Linked DNA regions of Sus scrofa. The protein of the gene in region 2 interacts with the protein of the main gene of each other region in a biochemical or structural test. Links are inferred from orthologs where the notes say so. Each region holds a gene or a part of one and is shown on either strand. Other genes may lie near its edges. The genes, in order: RAPGEF5, RAP1A and RAPGEF2.

Region 1 (10,073 bases), on a different chromosome or scaffold from region 2:
AAAGGGCACATTGGATTACCTTGGATAACCAGAGAGCAATGTCAGGGTAAGGGCACATTTAGGGAGAAAATAAGAGGGATAAAAAGCCAAGTGAAAATATCCTTACACCTCCAAATTGAAAAGCAGAGATCTCTATTACTTCCCAACTCGTGGCTCTTAGGATGTCTGCAGGGCAGCGTGGAGTCCATCTGGCCCCAGTCTGGCCAAACCAATCCCTGAGAAGCCCAGGCTCTCTCCCACCCATCTCAGCACCTCGGTGTTTGTACACACATCATTCATTCTGCCGTTACTGAGCTCTACCCTGTATCCACACTGAGGGTACAAGGGCAATTTGTACCTTGACCTATGCTGAAGAGAATCAAGTCTGTGGAAAAGCTCATGAAGGTCTTTAGTCATTTTTTAAATTAGGAAACCTTTTTGTAAATGTAAAAGTTTGAAAATGTCAATAATTTATTTTGCAGTTCAAAAATAGAGATTAATATTTGGAATCTGAAATTTTCTCTATCCTGCTTTGACATTTATTTTTGCAAAGCCCTCTTTTTTTTTTTTTTCCAAATCATTAACTATTTTAACATTAACTATTCAGGTCCAGCTCCTCAAATGCGAGAATTTCCATTTTAATTAGAAAATATCACATATTTTGAAAAGATGCCAAATAATTTTTAATCAATTTAACATTTAACAATGGCAGTAGATTTAAAGCTGTGATGACATTTAATAATTTTATGCCAGATTTTAAGGAAATACTTTTATTACCAAACTCACAGCTACTGCAGGGAAGCAACTGATACTTTAAAATAATTGTCCACCATATAAATGAAGTAACTTTCATTTTATTTCCTGTCTAATTTTTTTTTTTCATTTGCTTTCCATGAGCATTTTAATAAAATTTGTCAGTGTATGTCTGGGATGAGACTCGTTAAACATATTTCCTGTAAAAGCCTTGTCTGTCTTTATTGAAGTGCACCGTGACATTTCTTTTGTTTGTTTTTATACTAGCCCTGCTGGCACATTAATTCTTACCAGAAGCCAAAGTGACTTCAGGGCTTTTGCTTTCATTATGCTGTCGGCTGGGGCAGTGTTTTATAATCAGATTTGTGCATGCACGTCTCTCTCTCTCTCTCTCTCTCTCTCTCTCTCTCTCTCTCTCTCTCTCTCGGGCGGGGCGGAGGGGGGCACCACAGTGCAGTATCATTCATCACATTCTTTTGCTTCCAAGGCTGTTTCCTAAATTGGCTGTAACTCATTGAAGGTGAACAGATCAGAGAAAATATGAAGTGCACTCAAACAAGATGACTTTTCTAATGTGGGCTTCTAGTGGCTTTCTGCAGCCAGCCACTTCAGTGCCCAACTTGTAGGGGTTTTACTGAGGATCCTTTTGCTTCTCTCTGCTGGTTTAGAATCCGTTCGCAGACAGTGAGGAGTCACAGCAAAGGTCGATTAGGATTTTGGGAATGAACACTTGGGATCTCGCTCTGGAATTGATGAATTTTGATTGGAGCCTCTTTAATTCAATTCACGAGGTAAGACTCGAAATGATAAAATAAGTGCCAGTGCTGTTTTAACTGTGGATTCTTTTTGAAGAATATTTGTGTGTGACTAGGTTTTAAGAAGATCCATCATCTAGTGATATAGTTAGGCTTTAGGATGCCAGGGCCCCCAGAAATATTTGGGGACTTTACATATATTGAAAGACTGACCCAAACCTAGGAAAATCAGAATACAGGACCAGGCTTTATTTGTACTTAATACAATTGTATGTTTGTGTAATGTAGCATAAATATGCTATATTTTTTTGCTTGAAAACATGTATTCATATATATGCTTACGTATATAAAGTTCTAATGGGATTTAAGAGACATTTTACATTTGATACCTTTGATATTGGCTTTTTATTTTTTCTATGAGCTTTACAGTACTTTAAGAATCACATTTATAAATGCACCTACACACACATTTCTAAGAACATTCTATAAATTTAGACTATATATATTGTGAGTCTTCAAGTACTTGAAAATTTTGAGATATATTTCAAATGTGTATGTCCATCACCCTCTCCCTTGAGAACAGCTTAAACATTTATTAAACAATAGATGAGGAGCAAAATGGTACTGACAATGAATAAACATAGCCAGTAGAAAGACTCAGAAATCAGGAGATGAAAAATGAGGCACCTCTTGCTACATACGGTTTGTTGATTTGCTTTGCTTTCTTGTGAACTATTTCATACAAAAAGGCCTTTCCTTCTGAAGAAGGAACTTGGGCCCAATGTAGGGACCCCCAAGCTTCATTTTCGTTTTGTAACATCTTTTAAATATCATCATGATTTTTTGCCAACAACATTCCAACATGATTATTTAAATTTGAGTAAATCGTGAACTCATTCAAGCTGAATGAGTTGAAACTTGGAAATGTTGGTAGAGTGGGGTGCCCCTGCTCATGGATGCTTATGCCGTGGAAGGATGTGAATTACTCCTGCAAATACACACATACACACACACAGGCACTCCCCTCCAATTAGAAACAAATTTCTTCCATTGCTTTACATGTGATCCATCCATATCAATAGTTACTGGTCTAACTCAATTTTGTAAGTTTTGTTCCTTGTCCTAATCTCACTCTCTATCTGTTATTTAACAGTGTCTTATATCAGTGGTTCTCAGAGTGGGTACCCAGATCTGCATCAGCAGGACACCTGGGAACTTGTTAGAAATGCACATTTTTGGCCAGACCGCAGACCTGTTGACTCAGAAAATTTAGAGGATGGGGCCCAGCAATCTGTGTGGTTTTTGTTTTTAATTTTTTTATGGCTGCGCCCTCAGCATATGGAAGTTCCTTGGCCAGGGATTGAATCCAAGCTACAGCTGCGACCTACACCTCAGCTGCAGCAATGCCAGATCCTTTAATCCACTGCACCAGGCTAGGGATTGAACATGCACTTCCACAGCGACTTGAACTGCTGCAGTCAGATTCTTAATCACAGCAGGAACTCCAGCAATCTGTGCTTTATTTAACAGGCCTCCAGGTGATTCTGGTTCATGCTGAAATGTGAAAACCCATGTCTAGAAACTCTACCTGTGAGGGTCCAATGTGCATCTTAACGGATACTAGTGATAATCTTTTTCACTTGAAGTTGCCTCTATAACAAGTTTGGAGAGTTGGGGTTTGATTCAGCTCGTGACTTAAACTATTTTATTTTATTTTATTTTTGCTTTTTAGGGCTGCACCCGTGGCATATGGAGATTCCCAGGCTAGGGGTTGAATCAGAGCTGCCAGCCTATGCCGTAGCCACAGCAATACGGGATCCAAGCCAGGTCTGAGACCTACACGTATAGCTCATGGCAAGCAACACTGGATCCTTAACCCACTGAGCGAGGCCAGGGATCAAACCTGTGTCCTCATGGATGCTAGTCGCATTTGTTTCTTCTGAGCCACGATGGGAACTCCTGACCTAAACTTTAGAACGTCTTAGATTTTCATGAAAAGCATCATCTTTGCATTCTAAAAAATTACATTTATGTAATGATTCTACGAGAACATTATTTCATGAGGAATTTCTAAAAGTCAAGGTAAATTGCCTTGAATTTAATACACTGTTATTATGATATGACAGGGGTTACTGAAAGTAGCTCTTAAAGATGGATTGAGGGAGTTCCCGTCGTGGCTCAGTGGTAACAATCCTGACTAGTATCCATGAGGATGCAGGTTCGATCCTTGCCTTGCTCAGTTGGTTAAGGATATGGTGTTGCCGTGAGCTGTGGCGTAGGTCGTAGATGCATCTCAGATCCCATGTTGCTGTGGCTGTGGTGTAGGCCTGCAGCCACAGCTCCAATTCTACCCTTAGCCTGGAAACTTCCATATGCCACAGGTGCAGCCCTAAAAAGACAAAAAATAGATTGAGGAGTTCCCTTATGGCATAGTGGGTTAAGGATCCACAGTTGTCTCTGCAGCACCTCAGGTTGCTGCTGTGGGGTGGGTTCAATCCTTGGCCGGGATATTTCCATATGCTGTGGGCACAGCAAAAAAAAAAAAAAGTGTATTGAATTTTGTATCAACTTGACTCTGTGCTGTAAAAATAAACACTGGCATGAATACACTGTCTTTCAGCAAGAGCTGATCTACTTCACGTTCAGCAGACAAGGAAGTGGGGAGCACACGGTGAACCTCAGCCTTCTGCTTCAGAGATGCAATGAAGTCCAGCTCTGGGTGGCCACGGAGATTCTCCTCTGCAGCCAGCTAGGCAAGCGAGTGCAGCTGGTGAAAAAATTCATCAAAATTGCTGCTCAGTGAGTTTCTAGTGGTTAAAAATGCAATTCCTCTCCTCTCCTTGAGAGGGTACATTTTTTCCCCTTATGACAATAACTGGCTCTCCCTGTCCCCTGCACACTATCACCCAAGCCTGCACATGTGTTGTTGGCCCTGCCAAGAATGGCCACTTCCATCTAGCAGATTGCTGTCATTCAAGACCTAAGTCATATGTTGCTTCCTTCCTAAAATCATCCTTGACTTTCAAACGCAGAATCAGCTGCTCCCTACCCCAGCTTCCCCATATCAGGCACACAGGCTTTTTTCCTTTTTTAAAAATTTCTTTATTATATTGATTAAACCTAACTCTTTGTGTAGGATTCCTTCATTAGGCTGTGTTAGCTTCCAGAGGGCAGGGACCATTTCTAATCGATCATTGTGCCTGGGGTGCCTGGTACTGAACTTGGTAAATAGCAGTGACTCAGGAAGGTTGTTTGAATGACATTTTAGTAACTTCCTGTGAGCATCTCTCAAAATACCAGATTATTATCCTGAGACTACTCCTGGGACAGCTTCCCAACAGAAATAGACAACATGAATCTCAATCTTTCCCACTTCCTTCTACCTTCTGATCTTCCCATTTTTTTTCTTTTTTCTTTAAGTTTTTTTTTTTTTTTTAAATCAAAGCATTTTTGAGTACATGTCAGTGTAATATATTTAGGAAATATGTTCTGATCATTTAACTATATTTGCATATCTATCCAGGGCAGGGTGGGGAAATAAGAGTGAACCTACTCTGCCTTCAAGGACTTCTCAGTCTACTGGGGGGGACACTTTCTATAACTCAAATGGCTAATTTGCAAAATAGACGTGGAGGGGGTGCCCTCTTATAAGATGAAATTCTTCTGGGGGCTTTAGGGGATGGGAAATTTATATGCCAAGGGTATGGGAAAGGAGGATTAGACAAATTTTTGGAAGAAAGTCGCATTTGAAGCTATCTTTAAATTCTGGGTAGGAATTCAAAAGAGCACACGCTCCACAGAGGTCAAACTCAGCAGAGGAGAGAAGCAGTGAAGTTCCTTGGAGGCTGAGAGATGGTGGTCAGAGAAAGGAACCCCTTCCAGTTTGGCCAGAGTGAAAGGCATTTGTCATGCAGTTGTGGAAGACCGATCTGAAAAGGAAGATGCTTTGACAAAGTTGTTAAGGATGTTGAATTTCAGATGGAGGAGTTTGGACTGAATTGAGAAGGCAGTGAGGATTCTCTGAAAAGTTTTTGTGCAGGAGATGGAGATGATCCAAGTTGTTCTGCAGGAAGGTTGATCTGGAAGTAGCACACAGGCTGAATTGTTGGCAAGGAGACCCCAGAAGCAGGGTGTTCTGTTGACTTAGGTGAGAGAATAGCAGTGCCTGACCTGCTGTTTGATGTGACTGGGAATCGAAGGCGAGATAGGTAACAGCTAGACCTCAGTCTTGAACTCTTCTAGAGTAAACAGTCTTTTTTTTTTTTTTTTTTTTTTAATTTGACCAGTACATTGTCTATAATAGCCTGTGAAGGGTGAGGCTCTTTGGGATCAAAAACTTTCTTTCTTTCTTTTTTTTTTTGGTCTTTTTGGGGCCATACCTGCGGCATATGGAGGTTCCCAGGCTAGGGGTCGAATCAGAGCTGTAGCCTCTGGCCAACACCACCGCCACAGCAGTGCCAGATCCCAGCCGTGTCTGCAGCCTACACCACAGCCCACGGAAACGCTGGATCCTTAACCCACTGAGCGAGGCCAGGGATTGAACCTGCAACCTCATGGTTCTTAGTTGGATTCGTTTCTGCTGCACCACAACAGGAACTCCTCAAAAACTTTCTTATAAAGGCCCCTTACTTGGTGAAATGGGACATTAACATCCCAAGGACTAAAATGACACCACATAGTTTAGTTCCCAGTGTAAGATTATATCCATCCTCAGGGAAATGAAATATGTATAGTCACGTCTTCTGTGCATGGCCTCATGCCCTTGGATTATTTGCTGAGCTGGTCTCTATTCCTAGCAGGTAGAGTAGAATGCCAACAGAAACATAAAAGTTACATTCTTCATAATCAAACTGGTAGGAATAGCCCAGGAAAAACAGTGATTTCCATGATCCTGAAGCATCTTCCCTGCCTAAGGCATCCTATTTGCATATTCATTATTTCCTTCCTTCTTACCGGTCCCATCCCCCACCTCTGTGGATTGAGTGGATTTTATATCTTCACACAGACAAAGGAGTCTTTGCTAATCTGGAATGTGTTAATGTCAGATAGTCTGTTCTTATCTTGGAGTGAATGGACCTTGGTAAAGGAAGACTCCAGACTGGAATGGTAATCATATTTGTACTACATCAATTTGTCGTATAGAGAAATCATTTCTATATTAATTTTTTCTTTTTACAGAGGGAATTATATGTGGGTTATTATTTTTTTTAATCTTAAGTATGACCAAAAAAGAGATCTGAACCAGGAAAATTGTTTATGGGGAGCTAAAACATCAAAAGATGGGAATTATGGAGTTCCCATTGTGGTGCAACAGAAACGAATCCAACTAAGATCCATGAGGATGCGGGTTCGATCCCTGGCCTCGCTCTGTGGGTTAAGGATCCCGTGTTGCCATGAGCTGTGCTGCAGGTCGCAGACTCAGGTCAGATCCTCTGTTGCTACGGCTGTGGTGCAGGTCAGCAGCTGCAGCTCCAACTTGACCCCTAGTCTGGGAATTTCCATATGCCATGGGTGTGGCCCTAAAAAGCAAAAAAAAAAAAAAAAAAAAAATTTTAAAAGGTGGAATTATATCTAAGATTTCATGTCAGGTGTTCCCATCATGGCTCAGTGGTTAACGAATCCAACTAGGAACCATGAGGTTTTGGGTTTGATCCCTGGCCTTGCTCAGTGGGTTAAGGATCTGGTGTTACCGTGAGCTGTGGTATAGATCGCAGATGCGGCTCGGATCCCGCGTTGCTGTGACTCTGGTATAGGCCAGTGGCTCCAGCTCCAATTCGACCCCTAGCCTGGGAACCTCTATATGCCACAGGAGCGGCCCTAGAAAAGGCAAAAAAGACCAAAAAAAAAAAAAAAATTTCATGTCAGTAAGTGATTTTGAATACAAAGAAGGAGAATAAACTTTTTATAATGAATAATAATAAAATCATTTCCCCTGAAAGTTTTGCAAAAGTTTATGCATTTGAGTGATGGGCAGAATATACAAATGTCTAGTGGGAAATGACAGACCCAGCGGGACTTCCATCATGAAGTTAGGAGGCAGGACTGGGAGTGAAGGAAAGCATCTGGTGGAGATGCTTCTGGCCCAGGGATGGCCTAGGCCTGTTCTCACTGGTGACAGAGCCTTGGCAGAGGAGCCTGGTACTTCATGCCATCACATAGAGAGATGGAGCTGACTCAGGGCTGTTCTGGCCTGTGTGAACTTTCCAGGGTATGATGGGACAAAGGGTGGAATGAGGGAAATGAGTGGCAAAAGGGAAGCAGAGCTGCAGTGTGGATGCCTTTAGGCAGGGTTTCTCTAAAACAGGTGGGTTTCTAAATCATAGACCAGGAAGTATCTTAAAGCAGGGTCCACGCAGGAGAAAGTTGGTAGAAACCAGATGAAGGGGCCAGTCAGACTGAGTTTCAAGTCCTCTTGCCTAACAGGCTGAGTCCAAAGCTGGACAGGAAGATTATGAGGGGACAGATCATGCCCAGTGGAGGCTCAGCAGTGAGGGGCTTGCATTACTGGGTTCACCCTGATATTTGGGACACTAGGTATGGAGGCAGCAGTGCCTTTCCAGGTTCTCCTGTTAATGAGGATAGAATTTCCAGACTGTCCCCCAGCATGACCCCCACTGCCTGATGCCCAGGCACAGCTGTACTGGGCAGTGTCCAGTCCTCGAGGCTGGCTCTGGGAGCTGACCAGTTCAGACAAGACCAGCCAGGACACAGCCAGCTCTATAGATTACCACTCTCAGATCCCAAACCAGTTTCCTGGTTCTGAACTCAATGCTCATATACACACCTCTGTGACTGGAAATTGGTATAGTTTGGAGGGGGGCACAGAAGTTTGTAATATGTGTTGAAAACCTGTAAAGTCATAATAGCTTTTGATCAATCATGTAGAGACTGGAAGTCAAGCTTAATTTTTAAAAATGACAGTAAAAAGTTTTATACACAAAAGATATCAATTGTGGCATTCTGTTTAGAGTTGGAATGAGTTGAAAATAATTTAAATGTCAACAATAATGGAATAAGTAAACAAATGATGAAATATGTTTTTGACGAAGTGTTCTTTAGCCATTAATGATAACAGTGAAGGAACCATAATATATAACAAAGTATGTAAATAAAAACAAGATTCAGAATTGTGTGTATGCTGTCCCCAGATTCCATCTGAGACATTGTTGGAGAGATGACATCTGAGGGCTGCTCAGGCAACACACACGAGGTACTTTTTTATGCACCCAGCTTACTGCTAATCACTTTCATATTTATCAAGTTAGGGTAATTTTTTTAATTTTAAAGACATGCCTATTTTCCAGTAAGTCCCAGATAAAGGAGTGTCTGGACTTCACAGGCTGTTGCAGGTGACCTGGATGTCCATCCTCCCTCTGCTATTCTAAGCTCCCCCCACCTCCTGTCTGGCTTCGAAAATTAGGGGAGTTTTGATAGATTAAATTGAAGGGCAGGATTGACATTCTGCAGAGCAGATAACCTTGCAGAATGACTGGAGCTCAATGTGACCTTTTTGCATTTTATTTCCTTTTTTCCTTAAATTAGAAACATGGAACAGTGTCCCCATAATATATGTGATATTTTATTTATGTATGTATTTATTTTTGTCTTTTTAGAATCACACCTGTGGCATATGGAAGTTGCCAGGCTTGCAGTGGAATCAGAGCTATAGCTGCCAGCCACAGCAATGCCAGATCTGAGCCATGTCTGTACCCTACACTGCAGCTTGCAGCAGCGCCCAATCCTTAACCCACTGAGGCCAGGGGTTGAACCGCATCCTCATGGACACTAGCCAAATTTGTTCCCACTGAGCCATGACAGTAACTCCTGTTTATTTATTTATTTATTTATTTGTCTTTTTAGGGCCACACCTGCAGCATATGGAGGTTCCCAGGCTGGGGTCCAATCAGCGCTATAGCTGCCATCCTACACCACAGCCACAGCAATGCAGGATCCGAGCCCCATCTGGAACTTACACCACAGGTTATGGCAACACCAGATCCTTAACCAACTTGAGTGAGGCCAGGGATTGAACCCACAACCTCATGGTTCCTAGTTGGATTCGTTTCCGCTGCACCACGACGGGAACTCCTATTTATTTCTTTATATGTGATATTTTAAAGGTATATATAACATAGTAGCCGTTGTTACGGCAGCCACCCAGCAGCCCTGTGCCGCAGTGCATCAGCTCTGGTGACAGCCCTGTGGCTGTAGTGTACCAGCTCTAGCGACAGCCTTTTGGCTTTAGTGTACCAGCTCCAGCAGCTCTGTGGCTGCAGTGTATCAGCTCTTTTACCTGGCAAGAAACCAAGCGAGCACTCGGAGAGTTGGAGAACTCAGGTTTATTATGCCGGCGGGCTCAGGGGAGATCACTCTCCTGAGTCTGAGCCCGGAAGAAGGGTTTCACAAGGCTTTTATGGGCTGCCTCTTCCAGGTCCATGCTTGGCTAGTCGGACCAGAGTGACGTCAGGCAAGGTAGTAGATGCGGAAACAACTTTACAGAAGCAGATGTGTGGGAGAGGGGTGGTTGGGGCAGTTGGCTGGACTTTGCTTAGTCATCATGGCTGGGGTCTCTCCTTTGTACATTTT
Region 2 (10,771 bases):
CGATTAGAACACAATGATCTGTAAGGAGGAATGTTTAGTAACAGGAATAAAATGAATGACTATTAATGAATACATGAAACACATGACGAGACGCACAGTGCTGCAGGTAAGGTTAAAAACAAACTGTATTTCTGAGGAGAGGAAAAATCAGAGAAGGTTCCAGGTACGAACTGCTGGATGAGACAGGCCTTCAAGGATTTCAACAGACATAGGGTCCAGAAGAGGGGATGGGAGGCACTGTTCCGGGCAGAGTCAATTTAGGCAAATGAGTTGACTCCTTTATAAAAAAAAAAAAAGTGGTAGGAATTATATAGTAAGCAGTTCAGTTTTGCTTGAGAACTATCTCTGTGTGTAAGGGTATGGTTAGAAAAGAGGGGTGGAGACGCAGAACTGGGCAAATGCCAGATTAAGTAGTTTTGCCTAATTGGACAAGGAACAACTGATAGTTTTTTTTAAATAGGGTGGAGTCATGATCTGGCCCCTGCTTTAGAGAGAGAGTTCTGGCAAGAACACAAAACGAATTGAAGCGAAAGCAGTTAAGCAGGAGACCAAATAGGAAACTACAGCAAAAGTCTAAACTAGAGAGAATCAGTACCTGACCTAGAGCCGTGGCAATGGAGATGCAGAGGAAGGGCAGAGGGAAGAGACATTGGGTAGGAGAGATCTACGCCCCTCTGTCCAATATGGTAGCCCCCAGCCACATGCGGCTGTTTGAATCTAATTTAAAGACACTGAAGTCAAATACAATTTACTTATTTATTTACTGTCTTTTTGTCTTTTCTAGGGCTGCACCCATAGCATATGGAGGTTCCCAGGCTAAGGGTCTAATCAGAGCTGTAGCCACCAGCATACACCACAGCCACAGCAACGCAGGATCCTTAACCCACTGAGCGAGACCAGGGATTGAACCCAGTTCCTCAATCAATGCTTGATAGCCATATGTGATAACTGTACTGGATACGCAGATGAAGAAGATTCCCATCATGGCAGAATGTTCTATTGGACAGTGCTGCCCTCTACACTTTGCAGATGAATTGGTACCGGGATGGAGAAGATAGGTTAAAGGCAGCTGAGATTTGGCGGATGAGTAACTGAGAAATATAGTGCCAGAAGGAGTTCCTGTTGTGGATCAGAAGTCACGAACCTGACATAGTGTCCATGAGGACGTGGGTTCGATCCCTGGCCTCACTCAGTGGGTTAAGGATCTGGCGTTGCCGTGAGCTGTGGTGTAGGTCACAGACATGGCTCAGATCCAGCGTTGCTGTGGCTGTGATATAGCCCAGCAGCCGTAGCTCTGATTTGACCCCTAGCCTGGGAACTCCCATATGCCGCGGGTACAACCCTAAAAACAATAAAAGGAAAAAAAGATAGTGCCGGGTGCAGGAAAGGAGAAACCAGGAGGAGGAGACGCTGGATGGAGGAGGAATTATATCCCTTACTTTCTGTCAAACCCCAGGAGGGACAAAGTATCTGCACAGATGCTCAGGTGAGTAAAGCAAAGCATGAGTGGGCTCTCCCAGGACTTATGAAGACACACCATCCCTTGCCCTCCAACCTCCCCCACCCACCCCCTCAGTATCAAGTTCGTTTATCCCCTCCTGTGCTCAGTTTCTCCCCGGCTTAGGCAGCTCCCTCCATCTCAGGTGGCTCCCAAGGACGGTGACAAGGCAGGAGCTGTGGGCTTGCTGTTTCCTCAACTCTAAGATGCCAGCCTGGACCCTCTTTTCTCACAGCTACCCTTGCTTCCTCTTTCCCAACCGCCTCACCCGCCTTCCCCCTGCTCCATCCTTGGAAAGTCCCCTTGGCCCCCTTATGTGACTGCTTCCTCTAGAACTAGCCTTCCCCACCCCCACCGCTCCCCGCTTCCTGGGACCACCAAACCATTAACCCCACGGCTTTTTCACTTGCCCTCTCTCCACTCCCAGCTTAGATTCTAAGGTCTACCCCATAACCATTCCCTGGCTTAGACCCCTCCCTGTCTCCTGACTTTCCCCAACAAAACCCAGCCATTGGCTTGTGGCTGCAGAAAAGTCGCACAGCCTCATTGAGGGGTCTCACTTTATTTTTTTATTTTTTATTTATTTTTTTAAATTTCAACTACTCCTCTTTCGAACTTCTGAACAGATTAATTTTTTTGTTTTTTTTTGTTTTTTTTTTTTTTGGTCTTTTGTCATTTTAGGGCCGCACCCAAGGCATAGGGAGGTTCCCAGGCTAGGGGTCTAATCGGAGCTGTAGCCACTGGACTACGCCAGAGCCACAGCAACTTGGGACCCGAGACTCATCTGCAACCTACACCACAGCTCACTGCAACACCGAATCCTTAACCCACTGAGCGAGGCCAGGGATCGAATCCGCAACCTCATGGTTCCTAGTCGGATTACGTTTACCACTGTGCCACGAGGGGATCTCACTTTAAACATAGGACCACCGGCTCTAGAAGGCTCTCAGCCTTGCTCATACTACATTTCTCTAGTAAGTCTTCCAACTTTGCAGGGAATTCTTTCTCACCTTAGTCCAGCTCCTTAAAGAGCCAGCAGCCCTTCCCCACTCACAGCCTTCTATTGCTTAGAATAAAGTGGAAACCTCATAGCCCTGATCTAATTCATCAAACCCAGTGAGGCAGTCAGCACAAAGAGTATTCGGTGCAAACTGGGAAAACACCCACCCAGAGTGAGTGAGTGAGTGAGCGTGTGCGTGTGTGTGCACACATGGGCAATGCAGAGGATATGCTATAAGGTACCACCTCTCCAGGTGGAGCAACTAGAAAAGACAATCCTTCATCCAGGTAGATTTGGCCTCAAAATTTAGTTGGCAGAACAGGGGCTGGATGTCAGTTCCTTCCTGCCTCCTTCTGCTCAGCAGTGGCCTGAACATGCCATCACCGCGTGTACTACCTGACCTGCCTGCATTTGCACCCACAGACTTTGCCTCCTCTCCAAAAACAGTGAGTGCACCTACTGTCCTTGCTCCTTTCCAAGGCCGACTCCTCCACTTCTTCGCTAGGTCCCTTTGCTTCTCAACTACCAGGGGACAAGCTTTCTCTAGCTCTCTCCTCTTTGGCACCATCATTCCCCGTGAAGGGTCATTCCAGCAAGAGACCAGTATTAACAGGAGATACCCGCCCTTAATCCCAAGTACGCCCCCTTTTCAGTTGTTCTTTTTAGCAAAGCTCCTGAAGAGCTGTTTAGACTTGCCATAAACCCTTTCTCTTCTTCATCTCCCCTGTCTTGTTAACAGACCCTAATTAGACTGTCTCCCCAGTGACTCCATTGGAACTGCTTTTGCCAAGGACATCAGCAACCTGCATCAGGTCAAATGCAGAGTTCAAACTCTCAGCCCTCATCAGCATTATTTGATAAGACTGATCGCTCCCACCTTCCTGAAACAATTCTCTTATCTTCCAACCCTCCACCCTTTCTTGGTGTTTCTCCTACCTGGTAGCTTCTCCATGTCTATGGAAACTCCAAAGGCTGGAGTTCATCTTTGTCCTCTGCTCTAGCTAGTCTCCCTCCCAAGTGATTTTATGTAGACTTAAGACTGAAAAAGCATCTACATACTGATGACTTCCAAATTCATATACTCAGGCTTACATATTCAATTGTTTACTCAACATCTTCACTTGGATGTAGAACATGCACCTTATGTAACATACACAAAACAGAATTCCTGATTTTTCCCCACCCCAAATTTTCTCCTCTTTAAGTCTTCCCCATCCCATTAAATAGTACCACCTTTACTGCATCCTTTAGGCCTGAACCTAAGAAGCAAACATGATCTTTTCGTTCCTTGACACGTTCTCTGCCAAATTGATTCCAATTCAAAAATGCACCTGAATACATTCAGACACACCTCGTCCAAGCTCCCATGAACAGCCTCTCTGCTGACATCTGTGCTTCCCTGTTGTGTATTTTACACACATGAGCCATGGTAACTTTGAAAATTGTGAATCAGATGTGGTCATTCCTCTGCTCACCCTCCCATGGCTCTCTGCTGCTCTTGTGACAGCCCATGAGGCTCCACTGGACCTGACCTCTTCTTCCGCACCTCTCTCAGCCCAACTACTACTACTCTCTGGCTAGCTGATCACCCCAAGCCATTCTGGCCATTTGTTGTTCTTGCTACATGCTCGGCTGTTCCCAACTCTGAGCTTAAGGCCAGAGATTTTCTTTCAGCTTATAAGGTCTCCCCTATGCCTTCTCCCCTCCCACATATTTTCTAAGCCCACTCCTTCATATCATACACTATGGGCTCAAAGGTCTCCTCTGAGGGGCAATATCTGGCCATCTATAAAGTCACTCCATTCCTGGCTTTATTTTTCTTCACACCACTTATCACTTCCTGAACTTTTTTTTTTTTTTTTGGTTTTTTTTTGCCATTTCTTGGGCTGCTCCTGCGGCATATGGCGGTTCCCAGGCTAGGGGTCTAATCGGAGCTGTAGCCACCAGCCTACGCCAGAGCCACGCAACGTGGGATCCGAGCCGTGTCTGCAACCTACACCACAGGTCACGGCAACACCGGATCCTTAACCCACTTAGCAAGGCCAGGGACCGAACCCGCAACCTCATGGTTCCTAGTCGGATTCGTTAACCACTGCGCCACGACGGGAACTCCAAAAGAGATTTTTTTTTTTTTTTTTTTTAGTTTTTGGATTTTATAGAGCCGCAGATACATCGTATGGAAGTTCCCAGGCTGGGGGTCTAATTGGAGCTGTAGCTGCTGGCCTATGCCACAGCCACAGCAATGCCAGATCCCAGCCTTGTCTGTGACCTACCGCTCAGCTCATGGCAATGCCGCATCCTTAACCCACTGAGCGAGGCCAGGGATCGAACCTGCGTCCTCACCGTTACTAATCAGATTTGTTTCCCTGAACCAAGATGGGGACTCCACTTTCTGAAATTTTTGTTCTACTTGTTTGTTTCAGTCTCCTCTCTCCCACTAGAATGCAAGCTCTACGAGGGCCTTTACTTGCCAATGGCATTATTCCCTGTGCCTGTCACATATGAGATGTTCAATTAGTACTTATCAAAAGGTTGTATTCCGTCCAAAATTCTATTACTCCAGAATCTTCGGACTATTCCTCATTTCCTTTCCGCACCCAACCGCCCAAGGCAAAACCGTAACTCCCGCTCCTCTCCTCAGGTCATAACTCTCCCGGTTCGTAACTCTCGCATCCCTTCCTGCGCGGCCCCTTTAAGCGGACTCCGGAACGCCAAAAGGAAGGCGGGGCCGAAACCTTGCCGACGCCGACTCGGAGGGGCGGGGCGGGACTTGGGGGCGTGGCCTGCGTGCTGCGTGCGTGCGCGTTCTGGAGGCGCCGCCGCCGCTCTCGAGGCCGCTGCCGCCGCCGTCGCCGCGCAGAGCCGGAGCAGGAGCCACGGCCGAGTGGAGGGAGGAGGAGGAGGAGGAGGTGGAGGAGGCGCCGGACCGGGGGGGTGAGTGAGGGGCGGGGAGCCGGAGCCGGCCTCAGAAGGAGCGGGGGGCGCGGGTCGGCCGAGCCGGGGCTGAGGCGGCTCCTGTTGCCGGTCAGTCCCCTGGCTCCCCCTTCCTCCTCTGCGTTCCCTCGGTGTCCGGGGCGGCGGCCCGGGGCCTGGCCGGCGGGAGGGGCCAGGACTTGGGGAGGCCCGGCCGCCGCCGCCGGGGCCAGAGCCAACCACGCCCGCGGACCGAGCCGGTGGACTGTGGCTGGGCCTGCGGGAGAGGGACGGGAGGGGCCCGGGCCGGGTGTGGGAGAGAAAGAGGACATTGTGTCCCCCACCCTCCAACTCCCCGAGGTGTCATGGCACAAGCCTATTTCCCTCGCCATCTCCCCGGACACAGTGCCCTCGCCCCTCACTGCCCGAGGGAGGTAGAAGATTGGACATCGCTGCCTTTTTCTTCTTGCGTGTCCCCAGACTAGGGTCAGATCTTCCTTCAAACCCAGCTCACCCTTTGGGGGGCAAGCACAGAGGGGGTTGGAGGGTTGGGTGAATTTTCTGTTCCTCCCTCGTCTGCTGGAGAGGTGAGGGTAGACCGGAGCAGTGTCCTCTCTGTGTTCACTTGTCAGGGTTCGGGGTCCCCCGTTCCTTTATTCCCCCAGTGCGCAGGGCTGACATCTCTACGCCCCACTCCATTTCCCAGCCCCTTTCCCGCCCTCTTTGCCCAACGTCTTCCGTGGCATGCCATGTGTTCGCCTTTTCGGGCGTTGCTTTTCTTGGGTCTCTGCTTCTTTCCTGAATTTTATTAGTGCAGAGGTCACCGTGTGATTCTTGTCTTCCTTCAAACTGGGACTGGTAGGAGTGTCTTTTGCCCCCTGGTTCAGGAAGTTAAGGACAGCGTTTTCGGCTGAATTGTGTAACTTACTGCTGTGGGGAGAACTTGAGGGGAAGACACTTGTGCCTGAAAAGTGGAATCAGCTCACGGTGCTAAGAACCAGAGTTTAGGGGACCTTTTGACCTCTTGGAAAAAGAACTAGCGTCGAGGAGTTATGTATTCCTTTTGGGGAGGGAAAATGGTTTTGTCACTGCTTCGAAGGGAGGAAGGTAGAAGAAATGAAAGAGAATAACAGGGCAGGAGGTTAATGGGTCACAGCTGTACAGGTGGCCACAGTTTTCTGCTTCCTGGGTGTGAGATGATAATTCTTTCTGTTTTTAGCACAGTTAAGAGTGAAGTATCCGCTCTTAGTTTTAACGTGGGGCTCCTACCTTCAAAAGCATGCTGAAGGGCAGTCTCTAAAGGGATGCTGCTGGAAACAGGATTTGGAAACTTTATTTTGGTTTCCTGTCAGAGTGTGGGGGTGGGCATGCATGTGTGTAGTTTTTCTTCTCTTGTGATGTAATTGATAATCTGCACTATTTTGACATAATTGACACTAAATCAGGTTTCGAGCTTCTTTATTTTGATTTCTTGAACACTTACTTTCTGTTTTGAAATTGTATTTGCGTTAATTGAAATTCTTTTAGTCTGGTGTTTCAGTAAATCTTGTTTCCTCGGTATTTTGAATTATGTGCCACAAAATGTGATTAGGTGTAAGGTACTGAGGTTCATACAGTGCCTGGCACATGCTAGGCACTTGGTCTTTCTTGTTTGTTTGTTTTTGTGGCACTTGATATTTCTTGAATGAATTGAATGATTACAAAGATATGTCTAGGTATTTCCATATCTTCTATCCTTTTGAGAGGCAGCTCAAATTAGAATATGGCCTTTAGCTCCCAGTATATAAAATAGTAATTATTAACCTTTTCTGGGCTACTGACACCTTTGAGAATATAATGAAATGTGTAGATGCTCTCCTCAGGAAGGAGGTAATAGGCATTTTTGCACAAAATTTTGCATTCAGTTTCAGGGACCCTCTGAAGCCAACCATGGGTAGTTGTCTTAAAAGTAAACTGGAATCCCTGAGTATTCAGTTCCGTATTAAAACTGTTCAAAAGCCTTTGTTCATCTTCTGTTTGAGTTCAGGAATGACAAACCTACCCTTATAGACTAAATTTGGGTCTTTGGGAACAAGATTTAAGAGTGATTTTGTATTGCAATCTTATGGGGAAAAGTTCTCATTAATATAACTATTACCAGTAGTTTTTGAACTACTAATAATTTTAAACAAATGGCTTTGAAGGAAATTATTATAGTCACTTTTGGCAGCTTAAAATCATGATCATGACCGACTTATGATTTTTATTGTACAAACTCCTTTTTAGCAACATGATCCACACTTGAAAATGTTGACAGATGATTTTTCTCTTCTCTTCCAAGCTTGTTTATGTGCATGTTTTTTCATGTAGTTAACAACATTCAATATTAATTTAACACGTGCTTTTTTGAATGCCTATTATGTGAATAAAACAAAGTCCATGCTGTCACAGAGCTTTATTCTAATTAGGAGAGATGGGCCACAACCAAATAAATGTAGAATAAGTCAGGTGATAAGAGGTGTGCCGAAGAGTAAAGTAGGTTGAGGGGATGGAGGGGAACAGTGGCAAAGAAGGCAGTCAGGGAAGACATGAGGCTGGAGCACAGACCTGAAGGAAGTGAGAGATGTTTGCTGTCTTGGGGCAGAAGGTTACAGGCAGAGGGCTGTAAGTGCAAAGACCACTCAGTGTACTTGGCGTTTTGGAGAACACCTGGGCCGCCAGTCAGCAAGAGGGAAAGTGAGAGAGCTTGAGGTTTGGAGAAGTTGCCGAGGCCACTGTACAGCTTTGTAGGCCGTGGTCAGAACTTTGGATTTTACTTTGAATGAGATGGGAAACCACTAGAAGAGAGACCTGTTCTGACTTAACGTTTATGGGCATCATTCCGGCTGCTGTGTGGAAATCAGCTTGGGGGATGGGGCAAGAGTGGAAGCAGGAAGACCAAATAGGAGGTTAATAATCTTCATTTTAAACCCTTTTCAGTGGTTGCAAAATATTCCATCTACCTGCTGTTGGGCATATTTCCCCCTATTGAAAATAACAATGAACACTTTGTGTATGCAGCATTTTCTTTCTTTTTGAATATTTCCTTGGAATTGATTTCCAGAAGAAGCACTGTTGAATCAAAGTATATAAATATGCTTGTCTTCTTGGTATATCTATTCCTACAGAGAGTGGGTTGTACTAGTTAAAGTGACAGCCACAGTTGTTGATCTTAAGTTTCATGCAGTGTTACTTGCTTTGGGTAGTGGTAGTAGTAGTAGTAGTTGTAGTAGTAGTTTGAATTTTCCAGTAACTCACGTGAATTCTTGTTTTAGCTTTCCTTTTTAACATTTAACAAGGGGGTGCTAATTGTTGGGGATACAGATTTGTCTTAGACAGGGTTTTCTTCACTTAGGGAATTTTACGTTCTGTCGTAGTTTGTAGTCTAATAGTTAAATTCAACTTCAGATTTTGCCAGTGTTTACTGTTACTCCAGAACTTTGTTAGTATATGGTTGATGATCTTTTATATAAAATAGACATTGCAATCAAGCACCTAATTTTTCATATTGATAATTCTTTTTTTCCTTACTTATTTTTAATGGTATCTGCAATTTGTTTAATTTCTGTTTTTTATGTCTTCAGAATCTTACATCTCTGACAGCCCTGTGTTTTGTTCTTTGCAATAAATTATGCAACTAGTATTTAGTTGAGGACTCTCACAGTTGAATTTTTAAATTGTTGTAATTCTTTGTAAGTTATTCAAAACACAGAGACTATTGTTTCTCTTAAATAAGGCTAGCATTGCATCTTTGAAATTTTATTTCTATTATAAAAGGGGATGATGCCAGTCTGTTTTGATAGAGTTATACCACCATGAGGGCATTGCTCAGCATTTCTGGGTCCGAAATCTAAATGGCTTGATTTGGCATGAGCAGAAACATCTATGAAGTCAGGGAGTTGAACTCCTGGAGTTACCTGCAAGCACCTAGCATTGCGTCTGACACATGCTAGAGACCCAGCAAATGTTCATTGAACCTCCCGTAACCTCTCAGCTCCCAGTTCTACAATTCTTCTATTTTAGAACATCAATAAAAATATCTTGTATAAAGCGTTTATATCTTAATATTGTGGTGAGTTTAAAATGGCAAACGTAAACTGACTTCCTACCAGTGTTCCTTTCAAATTGAACTCATCAGTTTTAAAAAAGAGTTATGGTATATTGCCAAGTATTTTCTGCTCATTCTGATATCTATACTGCTGCATGACTTAATGCCAAATTCACATTTTATGGAAATGATTAACGTTAAGCATAAAGCCCTTTAAGTTGTCTTACGTTACTGAGACAGATGAAGCAGCCATTTCCCCCCATTTGTGTGTGTGTGTGGAATTTGGAGGTTACACATGGTAGTTTTTATGTGCTTTTCAGTCTTTCATATACAGAGAAATATTGGCCCATTTACATTTTGAATTTTTGTGATAATGGTTATGAATATGCAATGAATGATTCACATACTCTCTCTCCATTTCCTTTTGCACTTAGTTTTGAGATGACTAGTTAGGAAGGCAGTTTGTTTTAAAGTTAAATGATCTTGATTAGTATTGAACCTATAAATTTAGCTTATCACGATGTTTTGATCAATTAGGCAGTTCGAGAACTGAGCCATGCTCTCATTTCCTCTTGAAAATAGGCTTTTTAGAGCTAGAAGGTACAGGCATACATCAATTAAAAAAGGAAATTGTAGAGTTCCTGCTGCGGTGCAGTGGGTTAAGAATCTGGCTGCAGCAGCTCTGGTCGCAGCAGAGGCACAGGTTTGAGCCCTGGCCTGGTGCAGTGTATTGACCTGGCGTTGCCACAGCTGTGATGTAGGTTGCAGCTGTGGCTCAGATTCAGTCCCTGGCCTGGGAACTTCCATATGCCAGAGGAGTAGCCATAATATTTAAAAAAAAGGAAATTGTGTGTGATGGTTAAGGTGGAGTTGAAACAAGAAATTGTACCTTTACAGATGGTCTAAAAATCATCTTTTTATTGTAACTTTCAGAAATATGTAATATAGACATGGACGTTTAAATATGTACTGTGAAATTAACTTCAGTCAGTCATTAGACTAATGGCTTTTTTTTTTGTTTGTTTTAAGATTCTGGACTTACTTTAGGTTAGATGAATCTGGAAAAGAAGTTTTTTTTGCATATCTAGTTTTCCCAGATAGAGATAGTTTCCTATCTCCAGCCTAATTATTTAGTTCATATTGCTAAAGAGTGGTTCAAAGTGTGGAAAGGTAAGATTAACCAAATTTGGAATTAAATATGTAGTTCTCTGTTTGGTTTCAGAAAATATTTATTTTTTATTTTATTTTACTTTTTTAGGGCCACACTCCTGGCACATGGGGGTTCCCAGGCTAG
Region 3 (10,533 bases), on a different chromosome or scaffold from region 2:
TCCTCCTCCAGATAAATGACTCGTTTTTCTGGAAAAGTATAAAAAGGTCTGCCTCCATCAGCCTGGGGGCGATTTGACTTAACCCAAGAGAAGGGCTTTGGTCACAGGGACGTGGGGGGCATGGGCTACATGGGTGAAAGTTGTAGAATTTGACTATTTGGTCCTTGAATTGCCATTTGCTTTATTTCTGTGTGTAATAAAAATACATATAGCATTTAAAACTGCCACGTGAGCCATTTTCCTATATACAGTTCAGGGGCACTAAGTACACTCCCATCACTGTGCACCCATCACCACCATCCATCTCTAAGGTGTTCTCATCTTCCCAAACTGAAACTCCCCTCCCATCTCTTCTCTCAGCCTCTGGCAACCACCATTCACCTTTCTATCTATAAATCTGACTATTCCAGGTTCTTGGTGTAAGCAGAGTTATACAGTGTTTGTCTTTTTGTGACTGAACTATTTCATTTAGCACAGTGTCTTGTTGTAGCTTGTTAGAGAGTTTTATTCCTTTTTAAGACGAAATAACAGCCCATTGTATGTATATACCACATTTTGTTTATACATTCATTCATAGATGGACATTTGGGTTCCTTTTACCTTTTACTTTTTTTACCCCCAAGACTTTATTTTTTTTAGAGCAGTTTTAGGTTTACAGTAAAATTGAGAAAAAGGTACAGAGATTTATCCTATCTGTGCCCCCACAGATGCTACCTCCTCACACATACCCCTAGCCACCACTGATCTTTTACTGTCTCTGTAGTTTTGCCTTTTCCAGAATGTCATATAGTTGGAATCATACAGCATGTAACCTTTGGAGATTGACTTCTTTCAGTTGGTGATATGCGTTTAAGATTTCTCTGTGTCTTTTCATGGCTTGATAGCTGTTGTCTTTTTAGTGCTAAATTATATTTCATAGTCTTGACATACCATGGTTTATTTATAGATTAACATACTGAAGGACATCTTGGTGATTTCCAAGTTATGCCTATTATGAATAAAACCTGTAAATATCCACTTGCAGGTCTTTTGGTGAACATAAGTTTTTGGCTGCTTTGGGTATATATCAAAATGTGTGTGAATCACCAGGTAGAAGTGTATTCAGTTTTGCAAGAACCCACTGCACTGTCCTCCAAAGCGGCTGCACCATTTTGCATTCCCACCACCAGTGAATGAGAGTTCCTCTTGCTCCATATCCTCACCAGCATTTGGTGGTGTCAGTGTTTTGAATTTTGACCATCCTGATAGGTGTGTAGTGGTACCTTGTTGTTTGGATTTGCATTTCCCTCATGGCATATGCTGTAGGGCATCTTTTCATATGATTATTTGCCATCTGTAAGTCTTCTTTGATGAGGTTTTTATTAAGATTTTTGGCCCATTTTTTAATAAAGTTTTGCCTTACTGTTGAGTTTTAACATTTTTGTAGTTTGGATAAGAGTCCTTTATCAGATGTCTTTTTCAAATATTCTTTCCCAGCCTGTGGCTTGTCTTCTAGTTCTCTTCAGATTGCCTTTTACAGAGCAGAAGTTTTTAATTTTAGTGAAGTCCTGCTCATCTGTTACTTCTTTTCATGTATCATGTCTCTGGTGTTGTATCTGAAAAGGCATTGCCATACTCAAGGTCATCTACATTTTCTCATATTATCTTATAGAGGTTTTATAGTTACTGCATTTTACATTTAGATCTATGATCCACTGTGAGTTAATTTTTGTGAATGGCGTATGGTCCACTCCTAGATTCATTCTCTTATATGTGGATGTCCATTTGTTGAGTACCATGTGTTGAAGAGACTGTCTTTTGCTCTGTTATATTGCCTTCTCTCCTTTGTCAAAGATCCACTTTCACTTTTTTAGATTTTTTATTTTTTAAATGCTTTTTATTTTTTCCATTATAGCTGGTTTACAGTGTTCTGTCAATTCTCCACTGTACAGCAAATTGACCCAGTCACACATACAAACATACATTCTTTTTCTCACATTATCCTCCATCATGCTGCATCATAGGTGACTAGATATAATTCCCAGTGCCATACAGCAGCATCTCATTGCCTATCCACTCCAAAGGCAACAGCCTGCATCTGCCATCTCCAGATTCCCAGTCACCATTTACTTTTAAATTCTTAGTTTGTCTGTTATAGAAACATATTTGGGATTTGGATAGGAACTAGTTTACGAGATCAGATATGGTTTTGCTAATGTCCACTCCCAGTCACTGGGGATGTGGGTCATTCAGACAGTGTGTGTATCTGCCACATGTAGCACACAGGGTGCTGCAAGTCCACTGGCATGCAGACTGACATGGCACCAGCCCTCATGGAGCGCATTTTGTAGCAGGGGGAGCAGACACTCACTGCTCAGGTACTCTCATGATTGAATGTAAAATTGAAGCATGACAGAGATGCACAATATCATGGTCACTTTGAGAGCATTTCACCAGTGTGTGTTGAGGGGTGGAGGAGAGTCAGTCAGGAAAGGAAGAGAGGAGAGTTGGAGGCAGAGGAAATAACATGTGGAAAGATCCTCTTGCTTCTTCAAGGAAGCAGGAGGCCTGAATGTGGAGTGAGTCTTGATGACATGTGCAGTCTGCAGACTTTGTCCTGAGAGCAATGGGAAGCCATTGATGTATCTGGATTTGAAGTGGTGGCTTCATAGATGAGAGTGAAATGACCAGATTTTAGTTTCTGAAAGATCTCAGAAGCAGTATGTTAAACTGGGTTGAGTGGATGAGGATAGAACTGAATCCAGGCAGTTCATTAAGGGGACTTTTAGAGATTTGAAGCTCCCCCCCCAAAAAAAAGATTGGAATGCATGATAGCAGAGATGAAGAAAAATTTGAGTTTTAGAACAGGAAGAGTACTTAACTCGCGGGATACTGCGATGGATTGAACATGGAGAAGGGTATTAAGGGTTACTTGTCAGTGTCAGTTGTATAATGGGACCATAGTGGTCCTTCATTGGAGAAGTCAGTGGGATAGAGGATGATGGAAGCCAAAGTAGGTGATTCTTAAGAGCTTTGGTTGTGCAGTAGGGAAGAGGTTAGACTGTAGCCACAGGAGAATCGATGATCCAGGGAAGGCTTCTGGTTTATGTTTTGTTTTGAGATGGGAGAGACCTGAACATAAGTAAAAGCCTATGCAAAGAACCTCTAGTTGTGGGGAAGAAGTTGAATATATGGGGGGCCGGGGTTGGGGGACTGGAAAATAGATAACATAGGCAGTCAATGAGAGGGACATTGGGGAGAAGGATCCAAAATCATGATGTAGGGGAATGGATGCTCTTAGATGTGAGGGGAAAGGAAGGAGGATAATCAGTGCGAGTGCCATGTCAGGCAAGTGGATGAGAAGCACAAGGCAGAAAGGGCCCTCAGTCCTAAAGTCTGTTACTCAAGTTGCTGGACTTTCCGTATCTACCTTCTACTCTATATACCATTAATAGACCATGAGAAACAGACCAGTGCTTCAAAGTTACAATGTCAGCTCTAATGCTATCTTTTCAAATGACCTACTGACCTGGGTGAAATTACGTTTGTGATAGAATACCACGCCTGTATTAAATTTCAACTTTCTACCTCTAAAAGAACTTTGATTTTTTTTTTTTTTAAAGTCTGAGTGTGTTTAGTTTTATATTATTTGCAAGGTGCTGTGTGTGTATGGGTGTTTGTGAAAGTCACATCTTCTAAATTTATACAGAGCTTGTTAAATGTGCATTTTGTGAATTTGGGGTGGACACTTGTTTCCTGTAGCATGTGCTTTTTGAGGGTCTGGAAGAGGTCACATCCATCCCTGTATCTTCACCTTGGTGAAAAATCGTATTTTTAGTCCAAAGCTATTCAAGTAAGTCCTGCTCTGTTTTCCCACCCTGTCTTCAGTGATATTATTTGGAGTCAGCAATCAATGGATTCCATCCCTCTGAGACTTGCTTAACCTACAGCTGCTGATAAAATACAGGCAAGCGCTCATTCCTTTTTCTGAATCGTCCATTGCTACCTTAATGAGTGAAATGGTTAAGTAGAGGAGGGGGCGAGCCTTAAGGAATGTGTGTACCATTTGAGCTGAATATTTCAGTGTATATAGGGAGAGGGAGGGTGAGAGAGAAATCCACTTACATCACTAGAACTGCATTGAGTGTGAGCCTTGCAGGGTAAGAGACAGACCACAGTGTCTTGCTTTCTGCAGGAAGCAGCAATGCCGTCTGTTTCCTAAGAGGAATTTTTTATTTAGAAAAGGAAGCTTTCTCTCTACCCAGGAAATGGCTTTCCTTGTGCGTTGCTATGCCAACTGCCTGCAGCCATGGTCCTCCAAAGTAAGCACAATAATGTAATTATATTGGTGTGTTGCATTCAGACTCATGCTTCTGAGTGTATGTGTGTATGTGTACGTGTGTGTACATGTGCTGTGTTTCTGTTCGTGACTCTTGCTGGCAGTCATGCTTGTGCCGAGTGTGAGGGACAGACATCATTAGATTAAATGTCCATCAGTGTCATGCCGCAGAGATTAATTGTGCAAACTTGGTTAGTGGAGCGGGACAGGGATCACTGGCCGTGCTCCGTCAGCATCCTTGGCAGCCAGGGAGGAGGTCCCGATTCACACGCTCTGCCCTGATTCTTTCTCTCTCTCTTCCTTTCTCCTTTTTTTCCTCTTGGTCAGAGGGGTCCCTATGTGTGACTGCAAATGAGACAAGAGTATTAACAATGCTCGGCTGAGTGCTGGGGACGGGCCCCTCCACCGCCCTAATACCGTTCTGTAGGAAGCCTTTGGAGGGGAGTCTGTGTGCAGTCAGCCATTTTAGCTTTTTTTTTTTTTTTTTTTTTTTCCTCCTTTTCTTGTGCCTCTTGTTCTTCAGTCTCAGAAATGATCTTGTTCTCCGGGAAGACCAGGAGCTGTATAAGGTTTCCTCTGTCTCGCCCTAGCCTGAGATGGTTAGGGTTTCAGTGCTATAAAAATGGAGACGAGCAGGGTTGTTCAGATTCCTTTTCGGGTCCACAAGTGTGAGGGTTTGCAGTCACCAGTCCTGACACTTGAAGCTGCAGCTGGCTCTCCTTTTTTTTTTTTTTTTTTTTTTTTTTTTTCCTCCTCTGTTTCTTTTTTCTTTTAATCCAATGCTGTCAAGGGTGACTTGCCGTCCATGAGACATTGGTCCATGATGTGTCAATTCAGTCCAGCCTATGTTCCTTCGTTATGAAACCACTAGCAGTGCCAGCTAACCATGGAGTTATGGGCCAGCAGGAGAAACATCCAGTAAGTATCGCAGAGACTGCTTGTGTTTCCATGGCACGTCAGAGAGAACTGCTTTAAAACGGGAATGATTGCTGCTGCTCTTCAGGGAAGGCAGGTGCTTTAGAGGGGGTAATAGTATGCTTGGAGGAGGGAGGGTAGGTTACAACTGGCTTGTTCTTCCAATTTTGTGGCTATGTTAAAAAAAAAAAAAAATTTAACCAAGAGCAGCAGTTCATTTAAAGCCCGATCACGAGCACTGGAAGTATTGGACAGCTGATTTTTGTAATCAGAAATCAGAGCTTGACCATTCAGCTTTAACTGAGTACTCAAGATGGTTTCTTAAAAATATGTTTATAGTCAAACTTAATGAGAGCTCGTGCAAAGGTTATCAGGAATGGATGTCTGTAGTAAGGAATTCACACATAGGTTGGAGGGAGGGAAGGAGGGCTTTGGTTATTGATTTGGTAATAAAACGATCAGGGGTGCTCATCTTAACATGTATTAATAGATAATGAAAACACAGAATTTTTTTTCAGTGCCACGGTGTTGCTTCTTTATAATTGGTCCCATGAGTCAGCTCTGCGTTTGTCATGCTGAAATCCCATAGGCGGCAACCGCAGTTTGTGAGAAACACTTTTTTATGGCTACTTCCAAGTCTGACCCTCCCGTTCCCATGCTGCTTTCATGTCACCATGTTGGAAGTTTTCTGCCGTCACACTAATTCATATGTGCTGTATATAACCCCCCAATGAAAAGGCATCCATTTAGGCAGCTTATATAGGAGTAAATCAAAGTATTTCTTAAATGTCCGTTTTTATATCCTGGCATCTGACAAGTATCATATTAGAGGGTAGGAATTATCTTTTATATATTCTAAAAAGGTTGAGATGTTAAACTTAAAAAATGGAGACATGTTGCCAAGGCTTTGAAAATTTATAGGCGGAAGGGCGTGACTTAGAATATTTAGATGCTTAGGTTAATGGGTATAATTTGCTTTTGTTCACCTTTATGAGCAAAATTAGTAACTGGATGTGAGAGGTTTTCTTAGATGAGGTGACTCTCAGGCAGCATTCCACATTCCCAGAGACCACAGGATGTATCCTAGGGCATTGGCTGTGTCAGAAGCCTGTTATATGAGGCAGCGCTGAGAGCCCCACCCCCTTGCAATGGTGGTACCTTGCTAATTAAATCTCTTCGGATCAGATCCCCCAAAAGACCAGCCTTATCCTTAATTTCACTAATAAGAAAGGTTGTTATAGAGAAGTTCCCTTATGGTTCAGTTTTATTAACAGGCCCTTTGATGTGAAGCTCCTCTGTATTCATGATTTTTCCAGGTGTGAGGAAGCCTATTACTTAAATAACACTTGAGGAGCCTTAGAAGCAAAGTTCAAATCTCAGGCTCTTTAGTCCTCTTTCTCATATATCCTTTCTCAAGATGGGGGAGGGGGTATTTAAATTAATAGGATAATTTTAATGAACCAGGAAAATTTTTTTGTGTGTGTGTCTTTTTACGGCTGTACCAATGGCATATGGAGGTTCCCAGGCTAGGGGTCTAATCGGGGGAGCTGTAGCTGCCGGCTTACGCCACAGCAATGCAGGATCCCAGCCGCATCTGTGACCTATACTACAGCTCATGGCAACGCCAGATCCTTAACCCACTGAGCAAGGCCAGGGATGGAACCCGCAACCTCATGGTTCCTAGTCAGATTCGTTTCCACTGCACCAGATGGAAACTCCCAGGAAAATTGTTAATGTTCTAGAATTAGGTTGTGATGATGGTTGTGCAACTATAAATATAATAAAATTTAAAAAAAATCAGCAACAAAAAGAAAAGTGGTAAGACTTTTTTCTGATGGGGAGGGAAAAGTATGGCTAGATTTACAAACATGAGCATTTGGGTCTGTTAATACCAGAGGCGCCTATTCCATAAGTATGTTTGTTTCCTGGCAATTTTATGCTTTGCTGAATTTGAGGGTAATGCAATGATAGAAGTAACCCCAGCCATAAGATAACTTTGAATCAAGTCATTTCTAGAAGACGCATCAGTGGTATTCTCCATGATACTTTTGCTACAAATTAAAGTCCTGGAGTTTGCCATCCCAGACCATCCTGTGAGGCAGAGTTGTCAGTTGATGCTGTCAGCATATTGCATACCTCTGGTACATCTAGGTGGGTCCTCTGGTGATCCAGGTTTTGCTGTTTAAGAAGCAGACTTTTACGATGTTCATTATGTGTGAAGAATTGAATAGGGGAATAGTGACCCTGGCTCTCACCGGACAGATGACTCAGTAAATACTTGTCAATAATGAGTGAGATGCCCCTCTTTTGACCTATGAGGTTTTATGAGGGTAATGTCAAAGCTAGTTTTAAATGCGTAAAATTTGGTAATTTCACAAATACTTTCATTTTTGCTTCTTCAAGAAGTTTTTAAGTGATTTGGCTTCTTTGGCTACAGAAGGGAGTGAGATACTAAAAAGCAAAAGCATTAAATTGGGGGATTTTTGAAAAAGAAAACTATGCCTGGGCACAAGTAGTCAACCCAGTTTTTCTACCTAGGGAGAATCTTTCAGGTTTTAGGGCTTTCAGGTTTTACACGCATTATCTCAGCTGCTGGCACTTAATAGGTGTGCGAGAAACACCTTTGAATTTTTCATCTAAAGTGATTTGGGGATGATGACATCCCATCCCTTGAACCCTTTCAGCTAGAACATCTTATATTTCACCTCCTTTGGTCCCAACCTCTGGTCCATGTGGCCAGGTGCTGACACTGAGGTGAGGACGAGAATGCCCCTAGCTCTGGGCTCCGTTTTCCTTGCCATCTAGCACTCTATTAGTCATCAGAGGAGCCTTCTGCTTTTGTGGATTTTGACAATAAAAGGAGATTATTAACATTTAAAAAATGTATGATAGAACTGCATTTCAGACAGCCTACTATGGAGCACTTGTTGTATAAACTGTTAATAGGTGTTACATGAGAAAAATTTCATAGGCTTAGTTGGTAGAATCTGGGATAACAGGAAAAGTGTCGTTGCTCCTTTTACCAACCTTTCCATGTTTTACCCACTCCTCACCTATCAAATTAACCAATGGGAGTAGTGTTCCTTGAGTGTGCTTTTGGAAATTGTGTGCTATAGGATAACTTAGAAACTTTGTAAATTTTTTTAATGGATCACTTAAAATAAATTAGCCAGATGCTATCAAACTGATCGCCTATGTTCCAGCTGCACATTTTTATAGAAATTATTGATATGTGTCATGTGCTATACTAATAATAAATAAGACTTCAGTTATGATTAAATGATAATGTTTAAAAGTGGTGTATGTAAGAAAATGCTCACCTAAATGCAGGAATAAATATCCATAGCTGTCATTTATTGAGCACTTATTGGATGACGACTGGCGCTATATTCCATATTATCTGACTTAATTATTACAAGCCCCTAAAGACAGATTTATTATCACCTTTTTAGAAATGATGAAAATGAGGCTTAGCAAGATTAAATACCTTTTTTCCAAGGACTAGAAAGTGGTGGAGCCATCATTGGAACCCAAGTGTGTCTGATTTCATAGCTCTGCTTTAACCACCATCTGCTTCTCCTGATGTGGCCAAATTAAGCCTAAATTAGGTGTGTGGATTGTATGGTTACCAGAGCTGATACTGTCAGAATACACGGCTTGAAAAAAATGCTTGCTTTTCCTCAGCTTTTCCTATTTTTCCTGGTGTGTGTGTGATGTTCCAAGTTAATGCAAAAGCACACCAATATCATGTTCAAAATTATTTTATAAAACTTTCACAACAGTAGTTTCATAAAGTATTTGAGAGATGTGATCAGTAATGCTTCTCTCCTTTATTTTCTTGAGGCTTGAGTTGGGATGATCAGAAGTAGATGCAGTTTAGCCCAATTCCTTCCTCCCTCTACACTTCTCTGCATGACCCTGTTGTATACCTCCTTTCTCTCTCTCTCTTTTTTTTTTCTTTTTAGGGCTGCACCTGCAGCAAGTGGAAGTTCCCAGGCTAGGGGTTGAATTGGAGCTATAGCCGCAGCAACATGGGATCTGAGCTGTGTCTGCGAACTATACCACAGCTCACCGAGCGAGGCCAGGGATTGGACCTGCATCCTCATGGATCCTGGTTAGGTTTGTTAACTGCTGAGCCATGAAGGGAACTCCTACCTTCTCATTTTAATGGTTGCTTATTTACCTCTTTAAACACAAACTTGATGCTTCATCTTCTGCACCTTTTGCAACTTCCAATGGGCCCTAAGGGGCCACTTGAAGCACTGCACCTTTTTGTCCTGTCTCCCGGTTTCTGCTTCAGGGAAGATTGCATCTTTCCTGGAACCCAACTTCGGTTCATGACCACCTCTGTCAGGTCCACCCTGGCTGTGACTTAGCTGTAGCCCCAAGCATCAGCGTCATCATTTTATGAGTCCAAGTTCCCACTGGTCATTGAGGCCCTCTGGAATATACAATCTCTTATTTAGGAGCATAGTTTTTCTTCTCCAGCTATGCTTTTTTCCATGAAAACAAGATGCTCTGATCATAGACATTAAGGGCTCATTTTCTTTTCCCATTTCTCAGCCTGCAGTGCTCAGGCTTGACTTTCATTTGCTCCCTATCTCCTTATATTCATCTCTGTTTCTTCTGAATGATGATTTAGTGACACCTAACACATAATCCTTCATTTTATTAATTCTTCAAGTTGGTGCCATCAATTGGTTTGGTCTTTATGGTTAGATGGGACATGGTGTCTTGAGGGGATTCTCCACCTTCCTCAAACCAGGTGTGAAGATGCGGTTGGAATTCGAAACTGTTTATCAACTGTTAGGAGGACAGACTAGAGAAGGCTTTTCTAAGATGGAAAAATAACAGGTGAGGGACCAAGGCAGGGAGAAGTAGAGGGGGGTTAGAAGGTTAAGGGGAAAAATAATGAAGTCACCTTTGTTGGAATGGATTACCTTAGGGAGGGTAGGTCCATACGGATGATAGACAGGATGGTGTTAGGATTCCTCACAAATGAATGGCTGTAATTTAAGATCCAGCAAAAAGTGTAAGGTCCTCTTTCCCACCCCAACCCCCTTCTGTCTTTAACCGGAAGAGGCTTACTAACACTCAATTTTAAGGAAATTGCTTGTAATCTACCATGACAATCTGACCTGGTCTGTAAACATTGGGAAGAGTGTCTTTTTAATATAATTAGATTGATACATTTTCCTTAGCAGCATAGAAAATAGCACCAAGGTTAATTTTAGCTGTTACGCCTCTTTTGGGTTAAGACTCTACCTTTTCTATATTTGATCTTTATTTTGTCTATTATG

What was found.
Region 1: of the proteins of RAP1A (region 2) and RAPGEF5, one has a biochemical effect on the other in vitro, tested with the Homo sapiens proteins (2 studies listed by BioGRID). The link is inferred for Sus scrofa from reciprocal best matches to the Homo sapiens genes RAP1A and RAPGEF5.
Region 3: the proteins of RAP1A (region 2) and RAPGEF2 form a complex in vitro, tested with the Homo sapiens proteins (2 studies listed by BioGRID and IntAct, with this or other methods). The link is inferred for Sus scrofa from reciprocal best matches to the Homo sapiens genes RAP1A and RAPGEF2.

The regions. Positions count from the first base shown.
Region 1 is NC_010451.4:90,982,856-90,992,928, reverse strand, and holds part of RAPGEF5 (rap guanine nucleotide exchange factor 5), read left to right. Parts: intron 1-1,400; coding exon 1,401-1,523; intron 1,524-4,107; coding exon 4,108-4,286; intron 4,287-10,073. UniProt on the Homo sapiens protein: Guanine nucleotide exchange factor (GEF) for RAP1A, RAP2A and MRAS/M-Ras-GTP. Its association with MRAS inhibits Rap1 activation.
Region 2 is NC_010446.5:108,745,494-108,756,264, reverse strand, and holds the start of RAP1A (ras-related protein Rap-1A), read left to right. Parts: upstream 1-5,312; 5' UTR 5,313-5,432; intron 5,433-5,503; exon of another isoform or gene 5,504-5,522; intron 5,523-6,226; exon of another isoform or gene 6,227-6,269; intron 6,270-10,771. UniProt on the Homo sapiens protein: Counteracts the mitogenic function of Ras, at least partly because it can interact with Ras GAPs and RAF in a competitive manner. Together with ITGB1BP1, regulates KRIT1 localization to microtubules and membranes.
Region 3 is NC_010450.4:48,178,719-48,189,251, forward strand, and holds the start of RAPGEF2 (rap guanine nucleotide exchange factor 2), read left to right. Parts: upstream 1-4,799; 5' UTR 4,800-5,176; coding exon 5,177-5,236; intron 5,237-10,533. UniProt on the Homo sapiens protein: Functions as a guanine nucleotide exchange factor (GEF), which activates Rap and Ras family of small GTPases by exchanging bound GDP for free GTP in a cAMP-dependent manner.